2 linked regions of the Mus musculus genome follow. The main gene of each other region encodes a partner of the protein of the gene in region 2 in a complex. Links are inferred from orthologs where the notes say so. Each region holds a gene or a part of one and is shown on either strand. Other genes may lie near its edges.

Evidence for each region.
Region 1: the proteins of Tcn2 (region 2) and Cd320 are in contact, whole or in part, in a crystal structure (PDB 7QBF), measured with the Homo sapiens proteins. The link is inferred for Mus musculus from reciprocal best matches to the Homo sapiens genes TCN2 and CD320. Residues at the interface, in NP_000346.2 of Homo sapiens: Asp70, Leu71, His74, Lys77, Leu78, Gln81, Gln82, Glu91, Asp92, Arg120, Gly121, His122, Lys123, Asp125, Arg126, Val128, Ser129, Lys132, Trp133, Glu136, Arg140, Lys169, Arg170, His172; in NP_057663.1 of Homo sapiens: Thr57, Lys58, Leu66, Cys67, Val68, Pro69, Trp72, Asp75, Arg76, Asp77, Leu78, Asp79, Leu133, Glu136, Cys145, Ile146, Pro147, Thr149, Trp150, Asp153, Gly154, His155, Pro156, Asp157, Cys158, Pro159.

Annotation. Positions count from the first base shown.
Region 1 is NC_000083.6:33,838,652-33,849,712, forward strand, and holds the start of Cd320 (CD320 antigen isoform 1 precursor), read left to right. Parts: upstream 1-4,439; 5' UTR 4,440-4,519; coding exon 4,520-4,640; intron 4,641-4,774; exon of another isoform or gene 4,775-4,901; coding exon of another isoform or gene 4,902-4,980; intron 4,981-7,364; coding exon 7,365-7,490; intron 7,491-8,843; coding exon 8,844-9,074; intron 9,075-9,365; coding exon 9,366-9,527; intron 9,528-9,634; coding exon 9,635-9,777; 3' UTR 9,778-11,061. UniProt on the Homo sapiens protein: Receptor for transcobalamin saturated with cobalamin (TCbl). Plays an important role in cobalamin uptake. Plasma membrane protein that is expressed on follicular dendritic cells (FDC) and mediates interaction with germinal center B cells.
Region 2 is NC_000077.6:3,922,849-3,933,439, reverse strand, and holds the start of Tcn2 (transcobalamin-2 precursor), read left to right. Parts: upstream 1-1,395; 5' UTR 1,396-1,464; intron 1,465-1,478; exon of another isoform or gene 1,479-1,513; intron 1,514-1,588; exon of another isoform or gene 1,589-1,715; intron 1,716-1,852; 5' UTR 1,853-1,983; coding exon 1,984-2,047; intron 2,048-5,857; coding exon 5,858-6,050; intron 6,051-7,270; coding exon 7,271-7,440; intron 7,441-8,337; coding exon 8,338-8,499; intron 8,500-9,565; coding exon 9,566-9,738; intron 9,739-9,857; coding exon 9,858-10,044; intron 10,045-10,591. UniProt on the Homo sapiens protein: Primary vitamin B12-binding and transport protein. Delivers cobalamin to cells.

The sequences.
Region 1 (11,061 bases), on a different chromosome or scaffold from region 2:
GTGGACATGTGTGCCGGGTGTGTGAACACACGCTGCAGCATGTGTGGACATGAGAAGACAACTTTGGGAATTGGTTTTCTCCTTCCACTTGGTTTTTGGTGTCCTGTGTACTCCAGGTTAGCTGGCCCAAGAGTGTCTGCCTGAGGCTGCTGTCTGTACCTCCCAGCCTGCTGTAGGATTAGATTTGAGCCACTATGTGTCATTTTTGGGCTCTGAGGATGGGACTTAGGTCTCAGCCTTTTGAGGCTAGCACTTTTACTTGCGATCCATCTTGCCAGTTTTTTTTTTTTTAAATGGGGTCTTGGTGCCTGTAATCTCTGTATTACTAAGCCAGTAGGTGAGCTAGTAGGTGAATATCATTTTTGCTCCGTGGAATGACTCTGTAGCCCTTAAGTAGTCATTGATGAAGGTAGAACTGTGGAAAACATAAATAAAACAATAAGTTGAGTGTGGTGGTGCATGGCTAACCCCAAATTTAGGAGGCAGAGGCAGGAGGATTGCCAGTTTGAGGCCAGATTTTAGGTTACAGATTGAGAACCTATATCTCAGACTAACAAACAGAACACTGGCATCAAAAGAAAAGTAGAGATGAGCAAGAGTGTGGAGACTGGGGCTGCCTGGAAGCTGAGAGCAAGAGCAAGAAGGCCACAGCCCTGCCTGGAAGGTGTCAGGGTCTCAGAGTGAGTGTTATAGGATGCTACAGCTGCAGGCTTCACGGAGGAGGTGAAAGGGCAAGCTAGATTCAGAAAGGAGGTCAAACGGGAGAGGAACCGTGGTCATAGTATACAGAGCCTGCTGCCAGAGGACTCCTAAAGGCCTCGGGCAATATGTGGTATTGAAAATTGCTGTGTAGATTTATGACCTAGGAAATTGCAGGAGTGGTGTGGGAAAGGACTCCCTCCCTCCCTCCTTCCTACCTTCCCTCCCTCCCTCCCTCCCTCCCTCCCTCCCTCCCTCCCTCCCTTCTTTCCTTCCTTTCTCTGCTTTTTTGAGACAGTGTTTCTCTGTGTAGCCCTGGCTATCCTGGAACTCACTATTGACAATTAGCCCCCAATTCAGAGATCCTTCTACCTCTGCCTCCTGCGTGCTGGGATTAAAGGTGTGTGCCACCAAGCCTGGCTGATTTTCTTTTTTTTTTTTTCTCTTTCCTCCTCCTCCTTTTTTTTTTTTTTTTTTTTTTTTTTCCGAAATACTAGGATTACTAGTGTGTGCCCCCAGCCCTGGTTTATAGGATGCTGGGAATTGAACACAGGGCTTGGTGCATGCCAGACAAGCAAGCTCTCTACCAACTGAGCTCCATCTTGAGTCCTTTTGTTTTCTGAGGCAGGTCCCTACTCTAACTTAGGCTAACTTGGAACTTACTAAATAACTCGTGCTGACCTTGAAGTTAATGAAGTCCTTCAGCCTCAGCTGAAGAGATTATAGGTGTTTGCTTTCGTGTGTGGGCTCACCTCTTTATCTCTGTTTTGGCAGTTCTCTGAGCAATTCTGGGAGGTCATCTTGAACAGACAGTGCACTCTCTCGGGCTCATTGAGAGCTGGTGAATTCTAGGCAGTTGGGGAGTGGATTGCATTGCTCTGTGTAAATCTAGGGTCTGCCCAGATACCTTCCCCCACCACCAAGGACCAGCCTTGTCTTGGAAAGGGGTTCTGAGAGAAGAGTTGTCTGGGAGGTGAGAACAAATTGTGGGTCTAAGCTGAGGACCTATGTTTTGCTTGAGACAGCTCTCTAGAGTGCTTTCTGTAAGTTCTGCTCTCTCTGGAGGTCTCCAGACAGCTGCTCTCTCTCTATGTTCTGCTTATGCCAGTTCTCCAAGCACTTCTCTCTTGCTATTCAAAAAAAAATTCTCTGAGTATCTCATGCAGATCATGAACCCAGTCTTTTATTTTACATGTCAATCTAGTCATGTATTCCAGGATCCCTTTTGATTATCCTATGAATCAGCATCTTGTGACCCCAGCCCCTTAATTCTTAGAAGACAGTAAGCACACCCTTTTTTTTTTAAACATTGCAAAAGAATTCAGAAGATGCCTGCTACTGTTAAACATAGACCATAAGCTAGCTGGGTGGGACCCCATCCCGAAATAATATTTCTTCCATGCCTGGGCCAAAAACTTGCTCTGTCCCAGGCCAACCCTGAACTCAAATGTCTGCTTTTGTAAGCATAAACAAACAAACAAACAAACTTAGCTGGGTGGGCTATCCTTTGATCACCACTCCCCACGTCTCTTTATCTCCCGAGTATCTTTCTGACAAGTCGGCTCCCAGCACAACTGCTTTTGTTCCTTTAGATTAGTGAAGCTCATATAATTCATATTGCATCCTTATTTTTTGAGAAATTAAATATTTTTGAACTCTTTTTTTAAAGTTCTTTCTCACAGGCCTAAGCTGTTCCTAAGATCCTAATGTTTACCATTTTGCTGAGACATTAGCCACACCTTGGCCTCCTGCACTCTTGCTGTCTCTGATTATCATGGAGTTATTAACTTTAACAGGGAGGACATTCCTTGAAGGAGGAATGTAATATACATAGTTATACAAACAAGCCTTAAGCTCTGCACTCATGGAGGCCTATGCCTGATGGCCGTGTCCCAGGGGCAGGTAGCACCCTACCAAGATCCTGATCCTCAAAAGTAGGATGATCTGGGGGGTGGGTATGGGGGACCTTTGGGATAGCATTGAAAATGTAAACGAGGAAAATACCTAATTTAAAAAAAAAATGGGAATGGGTGGGGGGAGGGGGGGACTTTTGGGATAGCATTGGAAATGTAATTGAGGAAAATACATAATAAAAAAAAAAAAAGAGGAAAAAAAAATGTAGGATGATCCCCACCCTCCCCTGGGCTGTCTTACTTACCTCTGTCTGCATCCCTCTCTGCCTGAATACCATTGCCTTCTCCAGAAATTGGTGAGGCTTACACAGTACACTCCAAAAGTAGTCATAACCTCTAACATTTACGGTGGTAGAGAGGCCATCCATCCACAAGCAGCACCATTTGTGTGAAAGTCTGGACTTCTATGTAGCCTTCTGGTCTACATTCTGGGAAACTTAGCCATTTGAAGGTTAGTGACTTGCCTTCCAGCCTTGTTGGGAGGTAGTGTCATAGATTCTTTTTTTTTTTTTTTTTTTTTTTTTCTTTTTGGTTTTTCGAGACAGGGTTTCTCTGTGTAGCCCTGCTGTCCTGGAACTCACTTTGTAGACCAGGCTGGCCTTGAACTCAGAAATCCACCTGCCTCTGCCTCCCGAGTGCTGGGATTAAAGGCATGCGCCTCCACGCCCGGCCAGTGTCGTGGAATCTTAAGGTAGAGCTATGGAAAACGTAATGTGAAGAATAAAACACTAAGCTGGTACATGACTATATCCCCAATACTTCGGAGGCCAAAGCAAGAGAGAGGATCACTAGTTTCAGGCCAGCTTGGGTTACCTCAGACCAGCAGAAACCACAACATCACTAGCCACATTGGATAAGCTGACTCAATGCATTCAACTGTGGAAGTGGGATGAGAAAACCCAAGGCTGCCAATCTGTATCAATTACAATTAATACAATTGTAGTATCAATCTACCAGGCCCATGTTAGAATAAATGTTTCTCAAGTGTGTGAGAACTAGAAGTTAATGAGGTTGGGATGGGAACCAAGGAGATGGTCAGTCCAGGTTCGAAGCCAGTAACTGTTCACTCATTTGATCATTCCATCATTCCCTCACTATTTTCGCCATTCATCAAAGGAAACCAACATCCTGGTTCGCCTGCAGCTGGCATTCTAGGGGGCAATCAAGACAATAAAGCTAAAATAAGTAAAATCCTTAGGTGGCACAAAGGAGGGACCTGCTGGGGAGTGTTCACAGGGTGTGGCTGCCATATTCATTGGGACCATTGGGCAGTGATATTTGCAGTAGGCTACATGTGAAGTTTAGGTCAAAATTGCTAAGTTCATTTATATCCCTAGAAGGTTTATTTTTATTTTTGGTTTTTTGAGACAGGGTTTCTCTTTGTAGCCCCCGGTGTCCTGGAACTTACTCGGTAGACCAGGCTGGCCTGGAACTCAGAAATCTGCCTGTCTTTGCCTCCCAAGTGCTGGGATTTAAGGCGTACACCACCACTGTTCAGCAGAAGTTTATTATTTCAAGTTAATGTGGTTATTTTCATGGAACTGGGGATTAAACCTAGAGCCTCCTGAATACTACTAGGCAAGTGCTCTACTACTGAACTACTCCCCGAATTCCTGTTTTTTATTCTGAGGTAGGGTCTCCTTTAATAGCCTAGGTTGGCTTTGTTCTTCCTCAGCCTGTAGAATATCTGGGAGTTACAGGCCTAGGTCACCAAACACATTAGGTTTTACTGCTAGGAAGAAGCCAGGAGGAGCCCTAAAATCAAAGTACCCTTGTATTCGGGTACTTACGGTCGCAGGCTTGCTTGCGCCACTCCCCCCTGCCTTTGTGTGCGCGTGCGCGAGAATCAGCGCGTCCTTCTGACTGAGCGGCTGCGGCTGGAGCGGAGCAGTTCGGCTAGCTGTTGGATGGCGCGGGGCGGAGCTGGGCGGGCAGTGGCCCTGGGCCTGGTGCTGCGGCTCCTCTTTGGTCTCAGAACAGGCCTAGAGGCCGCTCCGGCTCCGGCCCATACCCGGGTCCAAGTCTCCGGTGAGTGAACCCCCGTTTCTACACCGCTTTTGATCCCGCCTCCACGCGCTGGCATCGCCTCACTATTGGCTGCGCCGCCCATCGGTCGTTGACACTCCCCCAGCACGCGTGTTTGGCTTTAGCGTGGGTAGAGTGGAGAGAATCGGCCCTCTGTGCGTGCAGAGGGGACCGCCACATGGGTGCCTTCTCCTGTGTTCTGCTCAGCTTCCTCCCTTATTCCTGCGCTGTCCCTAAGTCACCTCCAAGCCGTCCTTCAGCTCAATGTGGGCTGGAAGGCTTTTGTTTCTGATTTTGACCTCTCACCACGCAGGGCTGGTCACCCGGTACCTTCTTGCAGCAGGTATGCCTTCCCGAAACCTTCAGCCCTGAGGCTGCAGTTCTGTGGCTGTTCTTTCAGCACCCAGAGCTTCAGTTTTTCCTTGTATTCCTGCCTCAGAGAATGGAAGGAAGAGCCCTGGAGTGTATTTCCCCTGTGAACCCCAATCTTGGCCAGGAACCTGTCCCGGGCAGGACGAGGAGGCCCGATTGTGACCACTGGCCACTACTGACCATCCACTCTGTATGAGAATAGGTCTTAACTGTTTCAAGGTTTTTTTGGTTTGTTTGTTTTTGTTTCTGTTTTTAGGTTTTTATTATGTTTTGATTTTTTTTTTTTTTTTCCAAACAGGGTCTCACTTTATAGCTCTGGCTGTCTGCAACTTGCTATATAGACTAGGCTGGGCTTGAACTCCTAGAGATCCACCTCCCAAGTACTGGGATTAAAGGCAGGCACTAGTTCCCCTTTTTTTGAGACAGGGACTTACTATATAACACAGGCTGGACTGCTGTTTTCAACTTGTGCCTTAGGCTCCCCAGCACAGGGATTATTAGGTATGGACCATTGTATTTGGCTGTTTATGGATCTGTACCCATAAACTACCCCTCCTCCCACTTTCGGCTGTTTTGTAGCTCCAAGCAGTCTTCTTGTTCCAGCATCCCAGGAGCTGGACTTACTATTGAGCAACATTAAGTCTGGCCTTAGTATTCCTCTTTTACAGATGAGGACATAGACTGGGAGGAGGAATCATGGGTCATCCTGACTCCTGTCTGATTAATTGCCCCCAAGAGGTATAGGGTCTGCTCTGCTCTGGGCCCATTCCAAGAAAATACAGAGTCAGGAAGAGAAGGTCTGAGTTGGCAGGACTGTGAGTTGTTAGGCATGGAGAGGAGGCTATGCTGGGCAGGAAGGGGTGGTGGCCAGGGCTTGTATTCAGTTCTTCAGCTCTCTGGAGCTTCTGAACTGTGTGGTATGCAGGTATAATTGCGTTTGACTACAAGGAGAGGGAGGGAGGGGTCTTGGAGGCTCTGGCTCTGTGTGTGAGGTAGGAAGCTCTAAAGGCTCCCTCCTGTCTTTGTTCATTCCTTCCTGCTGGCCCAAGTACCAGGTCTCTTCACTGCCTGCCCCTCTTGATCAGCAAACAGCCCCGGCTTCCCTGGAAAGGCTTAGGTTTTATCTGGGTCAATGTGGACCCTCACATGACTTGTTCACACACTGTCAGGCACTAGACATGGCCATGAGGCCACGTCCCTGACTTTCACTGAGAGTGTTCAGTCAATAGGAATATGGATGTTACTAGTTAGGGACTGTTGTTTGTGGGAGGCAGAGCTTCCTGGGGAACATGAGACACTGCCCAAGATATAAACTAAGATCTGAAAGCTGAAGAAGAATCACACCTATAGAGTGGAAGGACAAGGTGGGCTGTGGCTGGGGTATATAGCTCAATGGTAGAATGTTTGCTTGATGTGCAAAACGGTCTAGACTCCTCTTCCTCTGAATACAGAGTGGAAGAAGGGCCCTTGGGTTGTGGAAGGCACGTGCAAAGGCCCTGTGATGAAAGCGAGTCAAGTCTCTTAGATAAACTACGAGGAGGAGGCCAGGATAGAGGGGTTTGATGGAGAAGGGAAGGATTTAGCCTTGGATGTGAGAGGACCTGGGTCCCGTGGGATAGTGGGTGATCAGAGTAGATAAGAGTGTGATATTCTGGCCTGGTGGAGATTCGGTACTAGGGGTCTAGTTCAGAGGTGACATATTTAGGTCAAGCTGAGTGTTTTCACCTGGGAAGAACTTGGGAGATGAGGGAATAGGTCTTGGCGAGTACACATGATCACCATGCTTTAAGTCAAGGTCTTCCTATATAACCCTAACTGGCCTGGAACACAGAGTCCTTCTGCCTCCAACCTCCTGCATACATATAATACCATGCCTGGCTTTTGAGCAGATTTACTACCCAGGCTCTCAGTTTCCCCTTTGCTAAGCAGGTGGGTTAGACTAGGTCCCCCTGACCTTGATCATGAGTCTCTTGCAGAGCATGTTGGGGAACGGCTCTTCTCCGAGCCCGTTTAAACTATGGAGCTTGGTGGTCTCCAATGTAGACTTTGTGGCCATTTGGAGCATTTGGAGCCTAATAGTGTCAAGGGTCAGTAAGACCTGGGTTTGAGTCCCGACTTTTGTCACCAGCTCTGTGTGGTCATAGTGTTTCAGAAGACTGGAGCCTAGCAGCATTCATGAACTTCCAGGGCCCCAAACCCAGGGCTCTGTAGAGGGTGGCTATCAATATAGTTTCTTTACCCTTTCTTTACATCGCTTATCTCTAGCTGATTGCAGCTCATAACTGTCCTCTTGAAAGATATTCTAGATTTGGATCCCCCAACCCTCCCAAGGCCTCATTTATGTTCATTTCTCAGGCTCTAGAGCTGACTCCTGCCCGACAGACACCTTCCAGTGTCTTACCAGTGGCTATTGTGTGCCCCTTTCCTGGCGCTGTGATGGGGACCAGGACTGCTCTGATGGCAGTGACGAGGAAGACTGTAGTAAGTGGCCATTCCTGGAGAGGGGCTTGAGGATGGGTGTTTACACTGCTGCCAGGCATGGAGATTAGGGGATTAGGAAAAGACTGGTTGTAGGGCTGGATAAGCAGGGCAAGGTGGAGTCTGTGGGTCTGGACTGTTGGGATTGCTTTATACCCAGCGCTCTAGAGACATAGGTAGGCAGGCGTACGGGGAGGGTGAGCAGGTAAAGGAGGAGCCTGATGGGAAGCCGAGGGCTTAGTAGGTGGAGTTGACAGGTGTTGCACAGAGACTTCCCATAGGGCAAGCCTTTACACACAGACTTCTTTATTTTACTTAGTGTGTGTCTGGGTACAAGTGTGTGCAGGAGTGTTTGCCAGCATGTCTGTGTGTATGTAGGGCTGGAGCTTGACACTGGTGGTGTCCTTTGTTGCTCTCCACCTTACTTTTGAGACCATCTTTCACTAAAATTGACAATCCCCCAGCACGCGCCTTTGGATTTAGTGTGGGGAGAGTGGAGAGAATCAGCTAGAATGGTTTGTTCCAGGGAGCCCCAAGATCCAGCCATGTGTACTCTTAGCCTTGTGGTTAGAGATGTGCCCTGCTGCACCTGGCCTTTACTAGGTACTGGGGATCAAACTCATTCAACATGTTTGTACTACAAGCACTTTGCCCTCTGAGTTATCTCCTCAGCTCTGAGGAAGCTGCTTTCATACATTTATTTTGTATGTCCCAGGATGGCCTGAAAGTCTCTATGTCGATCAGGCTGGCTTCATACTCACAGAGATCTATCTGCCTTTGCCTCCCAAGTGCTGGGATTAAAGTAGCTAAAGGAACGAGATGCTTTTAGTTTTTAGTTTAGTTTGCTACTTGTGGAAGAAGTTAGGATTTAGAGCGGATTGGGTAACCAGAGCACTGGGATTTCTTCTTTGTGTGAGTGTGTGTGTGTGTGTGTGTGTGTGTGTGTGTGTGTGTGTATGAGAGAGAGAGAGAGAGAAAGAGAGAGAGAGAGAGAGTGAGTTAGGGTTTCTTTACATATTGATAGCTGTCTTAGAACTCACTATGTAAGCCGGGGCGTGGTGGCGCACGCCTTTAATCCCAGCACTCGGGAGGCAGAGGCAGGCGGATTTCTGAGTTCGAGGCCAGCCTGGTCTACAAAGTGAGTTCCAGGACAGCCAGGGCTATACAGAGAAACCCTGTCTCGAAAAACCAAAAAAAAAAAAAAAAAAAAAAAAAAAAAAAAAAAAAAAGAACTCACTATGTAGACTAGGCTGGCCTCCTCTTCCAAGTGCTGGGATTAAAGGTGTGCACCACCGTGCCTGGCATACTGCATTTTCTTGCATGGATGTTTTGAATCTGATTGACTCTATGTTTCAGGGATTGAGTCATGTGCTCAGAATGGGCAGTGCCAACCACAGTCTGCCCTTCCTTGCTCCTGTGACAACATCAGTGGTTGCTCTGATGTCTCTGACAAGAACCTCAACTGCAGCCGCCCACCCTGTCAGGAGAGTGAGCTGCATTGCATACTGGATGATGTCTGTATTCCACACACGTGGCGCTGTGATGGCCACCCAGACTGTCTTGACTCCAGTGATGAGCTCAGCTGTGGTCTGTGTCCTGGGATCTTGGTATACCTGTGTGGGTGGGGAAGGCTGACAGTTATTTAAGGACATTTCTTTCCTTCCATGGGTGACTAGTTTGAGGATGTAAACACACGCTTCCTCCCAGGCCTTCGTCCCTGTGCTGGTGGACAGGACATCATGAGGATTAGTGATTTCCCACCAACTTTACTCTGTCTTAGATCAGGATGAATTCTAAGAGTTGGGCACTGGAAACCTTGTGTACCAGACTGCTAAGCCCTGGGCGCCCCTCAGCTACTGATGCCTTGCCTTGTTGCAGACACTGACACAGAAATTGATAAGATATTCCAGGAGGAGAATGCCACAACTACAAGGATTTCTACGACCATGGAGAATGAGACCTCTTTCAGGAATGTAACATTTACCTCTGCTGGGGACTCATCCCGAAACCCAAGTGCCTATGGGGTTATTGCAGCTGCTGGTAAGATAGGCTTTCCCATGTGAGGAACTTGGGGCTCTCCACTTACTAGTCTGCGATAGTTCCTGCCCTCCTTATCCTACTCCTGACCATCTGTCTGTCCCCTACAGGGGTGTTGAGTGCCATCCTGGTTTCGGCCACCCTTCTCATATTGCTACGCCTCCGAGGTCAGGGTTATCTGCCCCCACCAGGGCTGTTGGTGGCTGTGAAGGAGTCGCTGCTGCTGTCAGAAAGGAAAACCTCTCTGATCTGAGGACACATGGTTACCACCTGGCCCTGAGTGCAGTCAGACTGGGACAAAGGAGCCGTGAAACACGCAAGGAGCTTCTGGCTTCTCAGCTTTGAGACCTGGGCTCTTTGGAGCACAGAGAACTTTGATTTTTAAGCTTCTACAGATATGGTCCTAGAGACTGGGGTCCTCAGACACTCCCGCTGTATGTGGTGAGCTTGGCTGGAAACTTGCCATAGCCAGGACTGAGGGGCTGGCCCCAGGACGCTCTCAAGAAATGGGGCTACTGTGGTTTAGACACTCCTGCTGCTCACATTGATGGGTGGCTATTAAAGTTTCTTCACCCCTCTGTCTGCCTCTAGCCTGTTTCCCTTGGCCTGGGCAGCCTATGGTCTCGGCTGGATCTCCTTCTACCTTTTAAAAGGGAGTCTTCAGCCAAGAGGTCTGTGTCCTGGACATTTCCTCCTATACTCTACTTTTATAAAGTGAGGACGAGTATTGAGTCCACACTCAACATTAACAGTGGGCTTAATAGGAGAAGAGACCTGAAGTAATGTTTCCTTATTGGGCATTCCTTTGTCATGGCTTCTTCTGTGACATGGAAGCTGGGCTAACCTGATTTGAACTTGGCTATCCCCTGTTTTTTCAGGGCTATAATCCCAGCAGTTGGGAAGGGGAGATAGGAGAATTAGAAGTAATAGGCTTGATGTACATGCCTGTAATTCTAGCACTGGGGAGGTTGAGGCCTGAAGAGCTGGAGTTCAAGGAATGTCTGTGCTATTCAGGGAGACCTTATTTCCTTTCTTCCCCAGATGCAGTTGGTTGATGTTTTATGAGACAGTTCTGTTCTAGGCTGACAGGTTGTTTACTGTCTAGCAATGAGTTAGCCCCGGGAGGTAGGGAAGGGCTGTCCCCATGTCATAACTGAAGCCCAAGATACCTGAACATGGACATACAGAAAACAAGAAAATATTGTTAATACAACTTGACTTCTGAGTAACAAGGCCAGAGCTCTTCCCAGACTCTCAAATTCCTAAGTAAAATGGTGGGGACTGTTAGAATGCCTCCAACAGGCAGAGGAGAGGCCTTCCTGGTATCTCTAGCTCCTAGTAACCTCCAGGCCCATGATGAGTATTGGAGCTCTGAGGCTGTACAAGTAAGAGGACCTGAATTCAGATCCCCAGTACCCTATAGGAAGTTGGATTTGCCTATGATCTTATTACTGCGGGTGGGCATGAGCACAGGAAGATCCCGGGGACTTGCTGGGGAGATAGTGTAGCCTGAGAGTTTAAGATTCAGTGAGAAACC
Region 2 (10,591 bases):
GACAGCACCACCTGCCAAAACAAAACAAAGACCTAGCCCATCAAAGTCCACAGTTCTGGGAAAGTCTGAATGTACTAACCTTGCTTTTTGGCTTCTCTAATTCCATTTCTGGCTAACTGTTTTTGTTAATTGAAATGTGTCAACCCAGGACATGGTTTTTGTGCTTCAAGGCTCACCCTGAGAAAGTCTAGGGACTACGCAGGGATCCCAGACACCCAGTGTAGTCAGTGCCGGCGAATAAGGACTTCTATTGGCTCAAACTCACATTCGAGCAGTCTTCTCTGGTGAGCACCCACAACACTGGAGCCTCTTCTCCCTGCAAAATGCACGTGCATGCGGACTTCCCGCCTTACTCCGAGCTAATTACTGCTTCTCCCTTCCCTGCCTCTCTCCTTCCTTCACTTCTTTCTTCCTTCTCCCCATCTTATGTCTCCCTGAGTTTTGAGATGAGGTCTCAGTAGCCCAGCCTGGCTTGGAACTTGGAATGATTCTCCTGCCTCAGTCTCCCACATTCTAGATATAGGTGTGCACCAAGAGCCATACTTGGCTCCCCACCGCCTCTTCTTCCAGCTTCTCTTCCTCCTTTTAAAGAGATAGGGTCTCATGGTTACTCAAGCTGGCTGCCAGTCAGTCCTACTTCAGTCTCCTGAGTGGCTGGGGCTAGAGGTGTGCACCCCACATGTGACCCCCGCATTATGATAGAGTCCTTTGTCTTTTTCAGTTTCTCTGACAACATGACCTAGGCCAGCAACAACACATGCATTACGTTAATTACTGCTAATTAATAACTGCTATCCAGGTCCATATATATCTGTGTTGGGTCTTAGCTTGTGATAATTACCCTGGCACAAAAATAGATTCTCTTGAAAGTGTGACCTTTGACAGTTTGCTATAAAAATAGTTGTAACAAACATCTCATTTGAAGATGACTAGAGGCATGTTACGGTCTCAACATCTTCACAAGTGGAACTGGGAAATTGCTGCTAGGATAATATTGTTTAACCCTCTCTCTCTCTCTCTCTCTCTCTCTCTCTCTCTCTCTCGAGAGAGAGAGAGAGAGAGAGAGAGAGAATAACTTGAAACTCAGAGAGGTCACCCATCGCTGCTAGATTCATCCTTCGAGTCTCCAGTGGGGCTGGGCAGATAAGCAATGTTTTTTTTCTGCCAAGATGTCTTTAAGCGACGTTCCTAGTTCAGGGCAAGTAGCCCTGCAGCCCTGCTCCCAAAGGTTTTGCAACTTGCTAGATTCACTTGTTCTTCAACTTTCGCTGTCGCCTCAAGGAAACCCAGGCTGTGTCTGGTTGATTGAGACTTGTTTGTCTGGGCCGGGTCCAGCAGCTGCCCCGCCTCCTTGGCAGAACAGCTGACGCCAGAGAGCTCCGTCACGTGATCACCACAGTTTCCCAGCTCTGACCCCGAGAGTCAAAGTAAGTACTTTCCAGGGACTCCTGTGAAGTGCACCCGGTAGGTACTCTAGTCCTGAATGTCTGCAGCCAGAGCAGCAACGGTGCGGGTGTGCAGGCAGGGGTGGGGTGTGTGTGTGTGGGCAGGGGGCTGGGATGTGCGGGGGGCGGGGGGGGGGGAGGGCGCGGGGCGGGTGTGCAAGCCGGGGCAGGGCGGACCCCGGCGAGCACTGTCAGATAGACTTGGGACAGATTAGGCACCAGGCTTTCTGTGCTGCTTCCGGGGTCTTTAAAGCGTTCGGGACAGATAAGGTTAGCTTTGAGTTGCCCCACGGAGTCCCTTTTTGTTCTCATCTGGAGGACAAGCAGCTCTGCCCTTCCTTCCTTCCTCTGTTCTTTGGCCTCCTGCCCCATAACAGACCTTTCCCCCTTTCTCTCTGCTGATTTAGCAGCGTGCTTCCGGCTGTTGGAAGGACAATTAATCAGTGAAGCTGCCTCTTCCTAAGCAAGACAACAGTTGCAGTCAGACAAGCCCTCAAGGTGAGACCCAGGAGTCTCCCACCTCCCACCTGTGCCTGCCATGGAGCTCCTGAAGGCGCTGCTGCTCCTTTCTGGAGTCTTTGGGGCTCTTGCTGAATTCTGTGGTAAGTAACCAACCCGTGTCTGGACCCTGGGGTGGGGGGAGAAGGGCAGGGGAGCGGGGATATATGTGTGTGTGTGGGGGGGGGCTGTCCTTGTCCATTGGGGAAATTGGAAACTGGAAGTGGGGGATGGAGAAACTTACCTGCCCCTCAGGTCTCCCACAGCAGTTTTTAACAGGACCTTAGTGCTTGGGCATGCTGAATGGACACGTGCCCCCTGTCCCCGACAGGGTCTCCCCAGTTCATCCAGCAGTTTGTTCATTTACTCGGTGCACATGGGGCCTCTCTGAGATAGGTTAATAGGCCCGGTGTTTAGTTTGGAGAAAGGGTCAGGAGTACACAAGACTTGTCCCAGCTCTCCTAGGGTTTATGCTCTATGAAAGGGGCAAAAGGGGTGCCAAATTGGGTTACCGTGAGTGATGCAAAACAAGTCACCCTGAGGCAACAATAGAAAGCCACGGGGGTCCGTCGAATCAAAGAGAAGGATGGGAAAGGATGTCCAAAGACTAGAAGGACTAGAAGGCTTTGGGAAGAAGTCCCAGAGGGAATGGATGGGGGGGGGGGGCGGCGGCAAACATTCCAGGTACTTGAAGGTTCTCCCTGACTGCTCCAGATAGTCATCCCAGGGCTATAGTCCTCCAGAGACCTCTTATAGATTCTAGGGACCTCTCAAAACGTGATTGTGACCTTTAGGTTATAGGTTCAGGCACAGTCATACCCGGGGATCAGGCAGAAAGCAGGGGTGTCTCATCTCTCCCCTTCCTCCCGGGTACCCTGATTATCTGGTCTCAGGTGAACTCGGGCAAACCTTAAGCACGGATCAGAGAGATGATGCCCCAGCTCAAGATAACAGAACTGTACTGGATCCAGTTCTTGGGACCTGAGGCTAGCACCTTCCATAGGTGCCTAGACTCTCTGGCCATGTCCTGTTAAAGCTCCTTATCCTTGGGTCCCTGGTTGCTGTCTGGACAGTCCTCAGGGATTCCCACCTCAGCCTTGAGCTGTTAGCCCCAATGCCTGACCACAGGAGAGTTCCTCCCTTCACCATCATGAGAACTTTGGGGGCTTGGGTCCCAAAGTTCCCATTGGGTCCCTTCCCCAATGCTGTGACTTTTGTGAAGTGAGCCGAGACTGTTCCTCCTTCCTTCCTCCTTGGCGTGGTGTGAGGACACCACACTTGCGTCATCAGCCAAGGCTCTGTGTGCAATGAAATGAATAGGTCTGATCTCTAAAGTACACAGAGAGGACTCCAGGCTTCTGAATGCCTGTCAGTCAGTCAGTGAGAGGGCTAGACAACCCTGTGCACAGGATGCCTTAGTGCACGAGTGTGTGTGTGTGTGTGTGTGTGTGTGTGTGTGTGTGAGATAGGGCTGTGTAAGTCAGGGTACTGAAATGCAGTGGCTCACAGCCTTCCTAATGGTGCAACCCTTTAACACAGTTCCTCATGTCGTGGTGACCCCCAACCATCAAAATACTTTTGTTGCAGCTTCCTAACTGTAACTTTGCTACTGTTACGAATCGTAATGTAAATATTTTTGGAGAGAGAGGTTTGCCAAGGGGCTCTCGGCCCACAGTTTGAGACCCACTGTTCTAGCAGTGCAGCAGAACCAAGGAGTGTGTGTTTTGAAACACTGGCTTACAGGATGTGATCATGGTAGCCCAGCAATGGCTGTCTCTTGATGGAAAAAGGCTGAGAATCCCATAGTTATTCAGTCTGTGGGGCTGGTTATCTCTGCAGATTCAGTCTGGTGCTGGAGTCCTGGGGGAGTCCTGGGGAGCTGATGGTCTTCCATGTATGTTGGAACCACGAAGAAGGGAGACTTTAATACCAGCCACAGCAACAGGGTAGATGAACTTGCCACTGAGGGTGAGGGCAAGCAGGCAAAGGCAACGTCTCCTCCTTTACCTTATCTGGGCTGCCATCCAAAAGTTTGGGCCAGATTTAGAGTGTGTCTCTCAACTTCCAATTGTAATCTCATTAAGAAAACTCACAGAAGTACCTGGCAGCTTGGGGGTTGGTTGATTCCAGATGCAGTCAAGTTGACAAGGAAGATTAGCCATCCTAGCAGCATTGCCTGAAGCCACTTTGACTAGTTTGAGTGAATCTGCCTGGCTCCTTCCTTCTAGAGAGGGTAAATTGTGGTTATCTGCCTCCTATAGGCTGTGCCTTACCTTATCTCTTACTCGGGATGGAGGTCAGAGCCGGGGGTGGGGTCTCTGGGCTCCCTCACTAATTCCAAAGAAGAGCAGAAGAGCAGAGCTCTGTTGCTGAGATAGAGCTCAGGTGCCTGCCTACCATGAACAAAGCCCTGGTTTGAGTCTCCAGCATTGTACAATCCAGGTGTGGTGGCATACACCCGGAACCCCAACATGTGGGGAGTAGAGGCAGGAAGACCAGGAATTCTAAGGTCATCCTCAAGGACATATTGAGTTTGAGGCCAGCCTACAATACAGGAGACCTTGCATAAACAGTAAAATGTCCTCCTGGGACAGTCAGAAAGATAGAGAGCCACAGTAGAGGACCTCGAAGATACTGACAGAACTCTGGAAAGATATAGACAGATATCCCAAGAGTAAGTCTTCCCTGTTCCTACAGGGTTCCATCAGGGTTTCACTATGATGCATTCCAGGCCTTAGCCCCTCAGGTGCTGAGATTGCAGGCTTGTGCCACCATGTTCAGCTTGTGCCTGACTGTCAGAATGAACATTTCATGAGAAGCCAGCCAGGTGCCCTGGCCAGCCCCATAGAGCCAACAGTCATTTAGAGTTCGTACTTGGGAATGGCCCCTTACATCCATAGATACCTATGAGGTCTGTAAAACATTTAGAGAGATGTGGCTATGATCAAGGGATTCTGGATCTCATGTTAGGAAGCCCAAGAAAGTAGGCAGAGGGCCCTACGGCAGACCGTTCGGCATGCTGGAATATAGGTCCGTTGGACAGCAGGAGTGGGTGGCGACAGAGTCAGTAAATGGGGCAGAGAGTCCACAGTGCCTCCAATCTGAGCATGGCCCCTTCCCAAGGAAGGAAGTCAGCCATCAACTGGAATCGGTGAGCATCCCTGAGATTTCTGCTTCCAGGGCATCTCAGTGTGTTGCTTACATATTGCAGGTAAATCCCAAGTCCTGACAGGGTGCTAGTAGCTGATCTCCCAGGGTCAGACCCTATTAACTAGGGATGGCAGAAAAAGTGGTCTTTTAAGGTTCATGTGGAGGAATTTCCTAGGGCAGCTGGGAGAACCAGTTGGCAGCCTACAGCATGTGAACTTCAATGTGGAACACTCATTGCATGAGGGCTGGGGCTTTGAACAATGAGCAGGATACACTCAGGAGAGTGACTATAGCAAGGGGAGGGGTGTCAGTGTGACACAGTCTTGGCTCCCCAGCATCCTATAAGGCACAGCTTGACTTTGAACTTCTATTTCCTTTTCTATGCAAAACAACAATAAAAATATCTATCTACACCACAGGGCTGGTTGGAGGGTCAAAAGAGACAGGTGCCTGGTCCATTACTGCTGGGCTTGGTCTCCAGTCACACCTGATAGGTGGGGTGGTTGCATGGTAACAGCATCCTTTGATCTCAGCCCATCATCTCTCCTTGGCCCAGTCTAATTCCTCTTAGGAGATGCCCGCTTTTCTTTTTACCTACCACCTTTCACCATAGAGGGCATTTCTCCTGGCGGGCTGTGGGCTGTGTGGTAATGGGTATAGAAACCCCTGTTCCTGGTGAAGGTTTTGCCTAGTAAGGAGGTCACAATAGTTGCTTGCTAGTGGCATGGCTCTGTGGCCTCTCTCACACCATTTTCTTTCCTCAGTAATACCACGGATAGACAGCCAGCTGGTAGAGAAGTTGGGTCAACGTCTTTTACCTTGGATGGATCGGCTTTCCTCAGAGCAGTTGAACCCCAGCGTCTTCGTTGGCCTGCGACTTTCCAGCATGCAGGCTGGGACCAAAGAGGACCTCTACCTTCACAGCCTCAAGATCCATTACCAGCAGTGCCTCCTGCGGTATTGCTAGTCTCTTGTCTTCCCCAGTGACTTGATCCAAGTTATAAGAGATAGGAAATTGGATTCTTTTTTTTTTTTAAAGATGTCTTTCTTCCTTTCTTCCTTCCTTCCTTCCTTTCTTATAAGTACTCTGTAGCTGTCTTCAGACACACCAGGAGAGGGTATTGGATCTCATTACAGATGGTTGTGAGCCACCATGTGGATGTAGTTACTGGGATTTGAACTCAGGACCTCTTTAAGAGCAGTCAGTGCTCTTCACCACTAAGCCATCTCTCCAGCTCCTAGCAGGCTGGATTCTAATTGGGGTATTTTGTGGCTTTTTGACAAACTCTAGGCATATTTTGTCTTCTCTGAGCCTTTCTCCATCTGCAGAGTGCAGGGGTAAGTGGTACTAGATCAGAGATGCTAACACATGCCCTTTGTCCTGAAATGGTGTCCCTGATCCCTGAAGCAGCACCTAACTCTTTCTGTGCTCCCCACTGGTACCTAAGACAGACATTACTAATTCATAACCAAACATATGATTGTATATTGATACAAAGAAGCAGTATCTAACTCTGTAGTTTACTCTTGTACTACAGACAGACACTGCTAATTCACAACCATGTTCTTTCATGCAGTCTAGAAGCAGCATATTTCTGTGTTCCTTCTCCAAAGAGTAGCCATTAAAGAGAGGCCTGCTCTGGGGTTTGAGTGAGAGGCGAAGAATAAGAAAAAGCCATCAATCACTAGGCATAGTGGTATACACCTTTAATGCCAGCTCTTGGGAGGTGGAGGCAGGTGGATCTCTTTGAGTTTGAGGCCAGCCTGGTTTGCAGATCGAGTTCCAGGACATCTAGGGCTACACAGATAAATCCTGTCTTGAAAAACAAAAACAAAACAAATACATGCACATACACACACACACACAAAGAAAAAAAACATGAAATATCTGAAATATCTTCCCCATTCCATTCCTTCTCAAGAATTCAGGGAAGGGAGAGAAAATAAAGGAGAGAGTTCATGGGCAAACGGGGGTCAAACTGTATGATGTGGATGTAGGCACCTTTGTGTTTTACCCTTGACTTACCTCACCTTTCTTCTTTTGAAGAATCTGTGGCATGCACCTCATACCAGCACAGCTGACTGCTAATTCCACTTTGTGACCTTAGTGTGGGCCAAGCCTGGCTTCTCAGGGGAGCACCTTCTTACAAAGGTTCTCTTGTCTTGCCTCGTCTTAGGTCCACCTCCAGCGATGATAACAGTAGTTGCCAGCCCAAACTTTCCGGGGGCAGCCTGGCGCTCTACCTGCTTGCTCTCAGGGCCAACTGCGAATTCTTCGGGAGCCGAAAGGGTGACAGGTTGATCTCACAGCTCAAGTGGTTCTTGGAGGATGAGAAGAAGGCCATTGGTAAGGAGAACCACATCTGAGGGGGCAGGAACATCCGGGAGGGCTCATTAAATGGTTTCGGCGTTTGTAGTTTTGAGGCAGGCTCCGGACTCATAATTGTTCTTGTGAGATGAGGTTCTTGGTGGGAATCAGAACTCGGGGGTTTCTTCCCAGACCTCTTCTAACTCCCTCACTGGGTCTACCTAGAAGCTCGGGCTGGACTCAGTCGCCAGGCTTGACCCAAGCTTTCCCCTACCCCATGCACAAGCTGTTGGGTGCCCAGCCAGCAAGACTAAGCGGTTTCCACCTCTGGGACACTGGTACGGCCTCCTCTCTGCCTACTCCTTAGCCTCTGTCAACTTTCCAGCCTCCTGACTTGGACCCAATTCCCAACAGCTGAAGCAGGGATTTTCAGTATAAACCTGTTCTTCATTCAGCTTACACCTTGCAGCCCCCCTCCCTGCAGCCCCCCTCCCTGCAGCCCCCCTCCCTGCAGCCCCCTCCCCGCCGCCCCCCTCCCCGCCCATTCTTCCATTGCTAACCCTCAGCCCAGCCTGGCTGGTCTCTTACACTTTCTAGGCATTGCTTGCTTGCTTCTCTTTGTGCTCCAGGCACAATGACCTTCTCAAACAAGTCTAGATATTTATCTGTGCCCTGCAGAGTGACATCCATGAAGAATCCTGTCTCAATTTCCCAGCTATTTAGACTTCTGTTATTGGCTCTAGGGACCTCAGGCCACATTTCTGTTACAATGGTGCTGTCCTATGAGCACCGTTCTATTCTGACCTGCAGAGATAGAACCCGGCATATATTGGGACCTCAGCCAGCAGCCTGTGGTCCCGAAAGCTATGAAGTTTCTTGCTGGGAAGAGGCGGAAACCCTGACCTGTCTCTCTACTCCTTGCCTTTCTAATCTCAGGGCACAATCATGAAGGCCACCCCAACACCAACTATTACCAGTATGGCCTCAGCATCCTGGCACTGTGTGTCCACCAGAAGCGGCTCCATGACAGCGTGGTGGGCAAGCTCCTGTATGCTGTTGAACATGACTACTTTACCTACCAGGGCCACGTCTCTGTGGGTGAGTGGACAAAACCTAGCTTTCCCCAGCCCCAGGGGAAGGGGTGTACGACCTGTCCCTCTGCTCACCTTTCATTGGAACATCTCCTTGCCAGATCCCTTCGAAATGAAATGGTGGGGACTGTGAGCCAGCTTTGAAACTGGACTTGCATCCTGACCACAGCTCCATCACGTGTTCACTGTAGGTCATCCTCCTCCTCTTCCCGCCAGGCTTTTCCTTTAAAACAACCTCCCAGCAGCAGCTCAGTAAAGGCACTTTACAAGCAGAGGTCTTAGCACACACTTGGTACCGTATAACCTGGGATTCTGATACCTGGATTTTGATCTGATTTCTCACTATGTGACCTTGGGCCACCAGACCTATTTTTTAATCATCACAATTCAAGGTCTCTGCTAGGCCTGGGCTTCTGTGAATGAATAAGGCCTCATGTAGGGTGGGTAGGATGGAGTAGGAAGGGGGTTGATTGGTAGATGATTGCTTAGAGAGAAAAAGGCACCAGGACCTCTGGCAATGAAAGACTTGTCTCAGAGTCTTGTAGAGAAACACAGTGGACACATTAATGTTGCCTAGAGGGAAGAGGAGATCTTAAAAACTCCCAGGCCCTGACAGCTACCTTTATCAATTAAATCAGAATGCCTGAGGGTAGATAACGTAGCTGTTGGCACCAAACTCTCCAAGGAGGCTGGAGATGTAGCCCAATGGCAAATAACTACTATGCTTGAGGTCCTAAATTCAATACTCTACACTACAAAACCAATATGATTTAATTAATCAGTAATAAAGTTCCCTCTTTGGTCTCAGTGCATCCTGGCTTAGGAGCAGGGACTGTAGAATCCATCCTCTGGGACCCTCTTCTTCAGTCTGTCCATATAACCTGTTACTCTCAAGCCACTCAGTGACCAAGTTTGTCTAGGTCTGAGCGTTTTTCTGGGGCTTACTGTGTCCAGTGTTAGGACCAGGGAAGTCCTGGGCAAATCACCTGAATTGGTATGGTATATGATCCTGAATCCCCACCTAGTCTGATCTTATCAAGCTGTCCAGTTCATACTAGATGTTATCCCCCTAGACACAGAAGCCATGGCCGGCTTGGCCCTCACCTGTTTGGAGCGATTCAATTTCAACTCTGATCTGAGACCACGAATCACCATGGCTATCGAGACAGTGCGAGAGAAAATCCTGAAGTCCCAGGCCCCTGAGGGCTACTTTGGGAATATCTATAGCACCCCACTGGCACTACAGGTAAGAGAGAGACTCTGGAGCCATGACTGCTTAGCGGGTCAATGGAGGGAGGGCTGGTTAGAAGCTGGAGAGCCTGGTTCCTTCCCAGGGGCTAACCTCTGACCTTCTCTTCCTCACAGATGCTCATGACATCTCCTGCATCCGGGGTAGGGCTGGGCACAGCGTGCATCAAGGCAGGGACATCCCTGCTGCTCAGCCTACAGGATGGGGCCTTCCAAAATCCTCTGATGATTTCCCAGCTGCTACCCATCCTGAACCACAAGACCTACTTGGATCTTATCTTCCCAGACTGCCAGGCATCCAGGGGTAGCAGAGCCCTTTCTGTCTCCTAAGTGATAAGCTACTCTCTGTGGGTCCCAGTGATGGGTGACCAGTCAGTGATGCTTGGCTGAGGCGACATGAGCATGCACAGAACACAGCAGCTAAAACGAGGCCACAGCCTTCTGATACTCATGGTGTGGGCACAGACACCAAACAAGTGCTCTGGGCGGTACCCACTGCGTGATACCCACCGTGGAAATGTTTGGGCGAGGGAATGGAGGAGTGTATTAGTCATGGTCCTCTAAAGCAGCAGCATTGATAGGATGGTTTATTGGATTGGCATACACTATATGGTACAGATAGTTCAACAGTGGCTCTCTCACTCTGTCTCAGTCTGGAAAGCTGGATGTCTCCGCAGTCCCAGTGTGGCGATGCAGGAGGCCTGATGGATTCTGAAGAGCTGTTAGCCTTCTATCTACATTGGAAGTGTGAGGAAGTTGGTTTAATATCAGCAAAGGGATGCTGTAAGAGGTCAGATAAAGTAGATAGTGAGAGTGAGGGCAAGCGGCAAAAAGCAGGTTCCTTCTTCCGA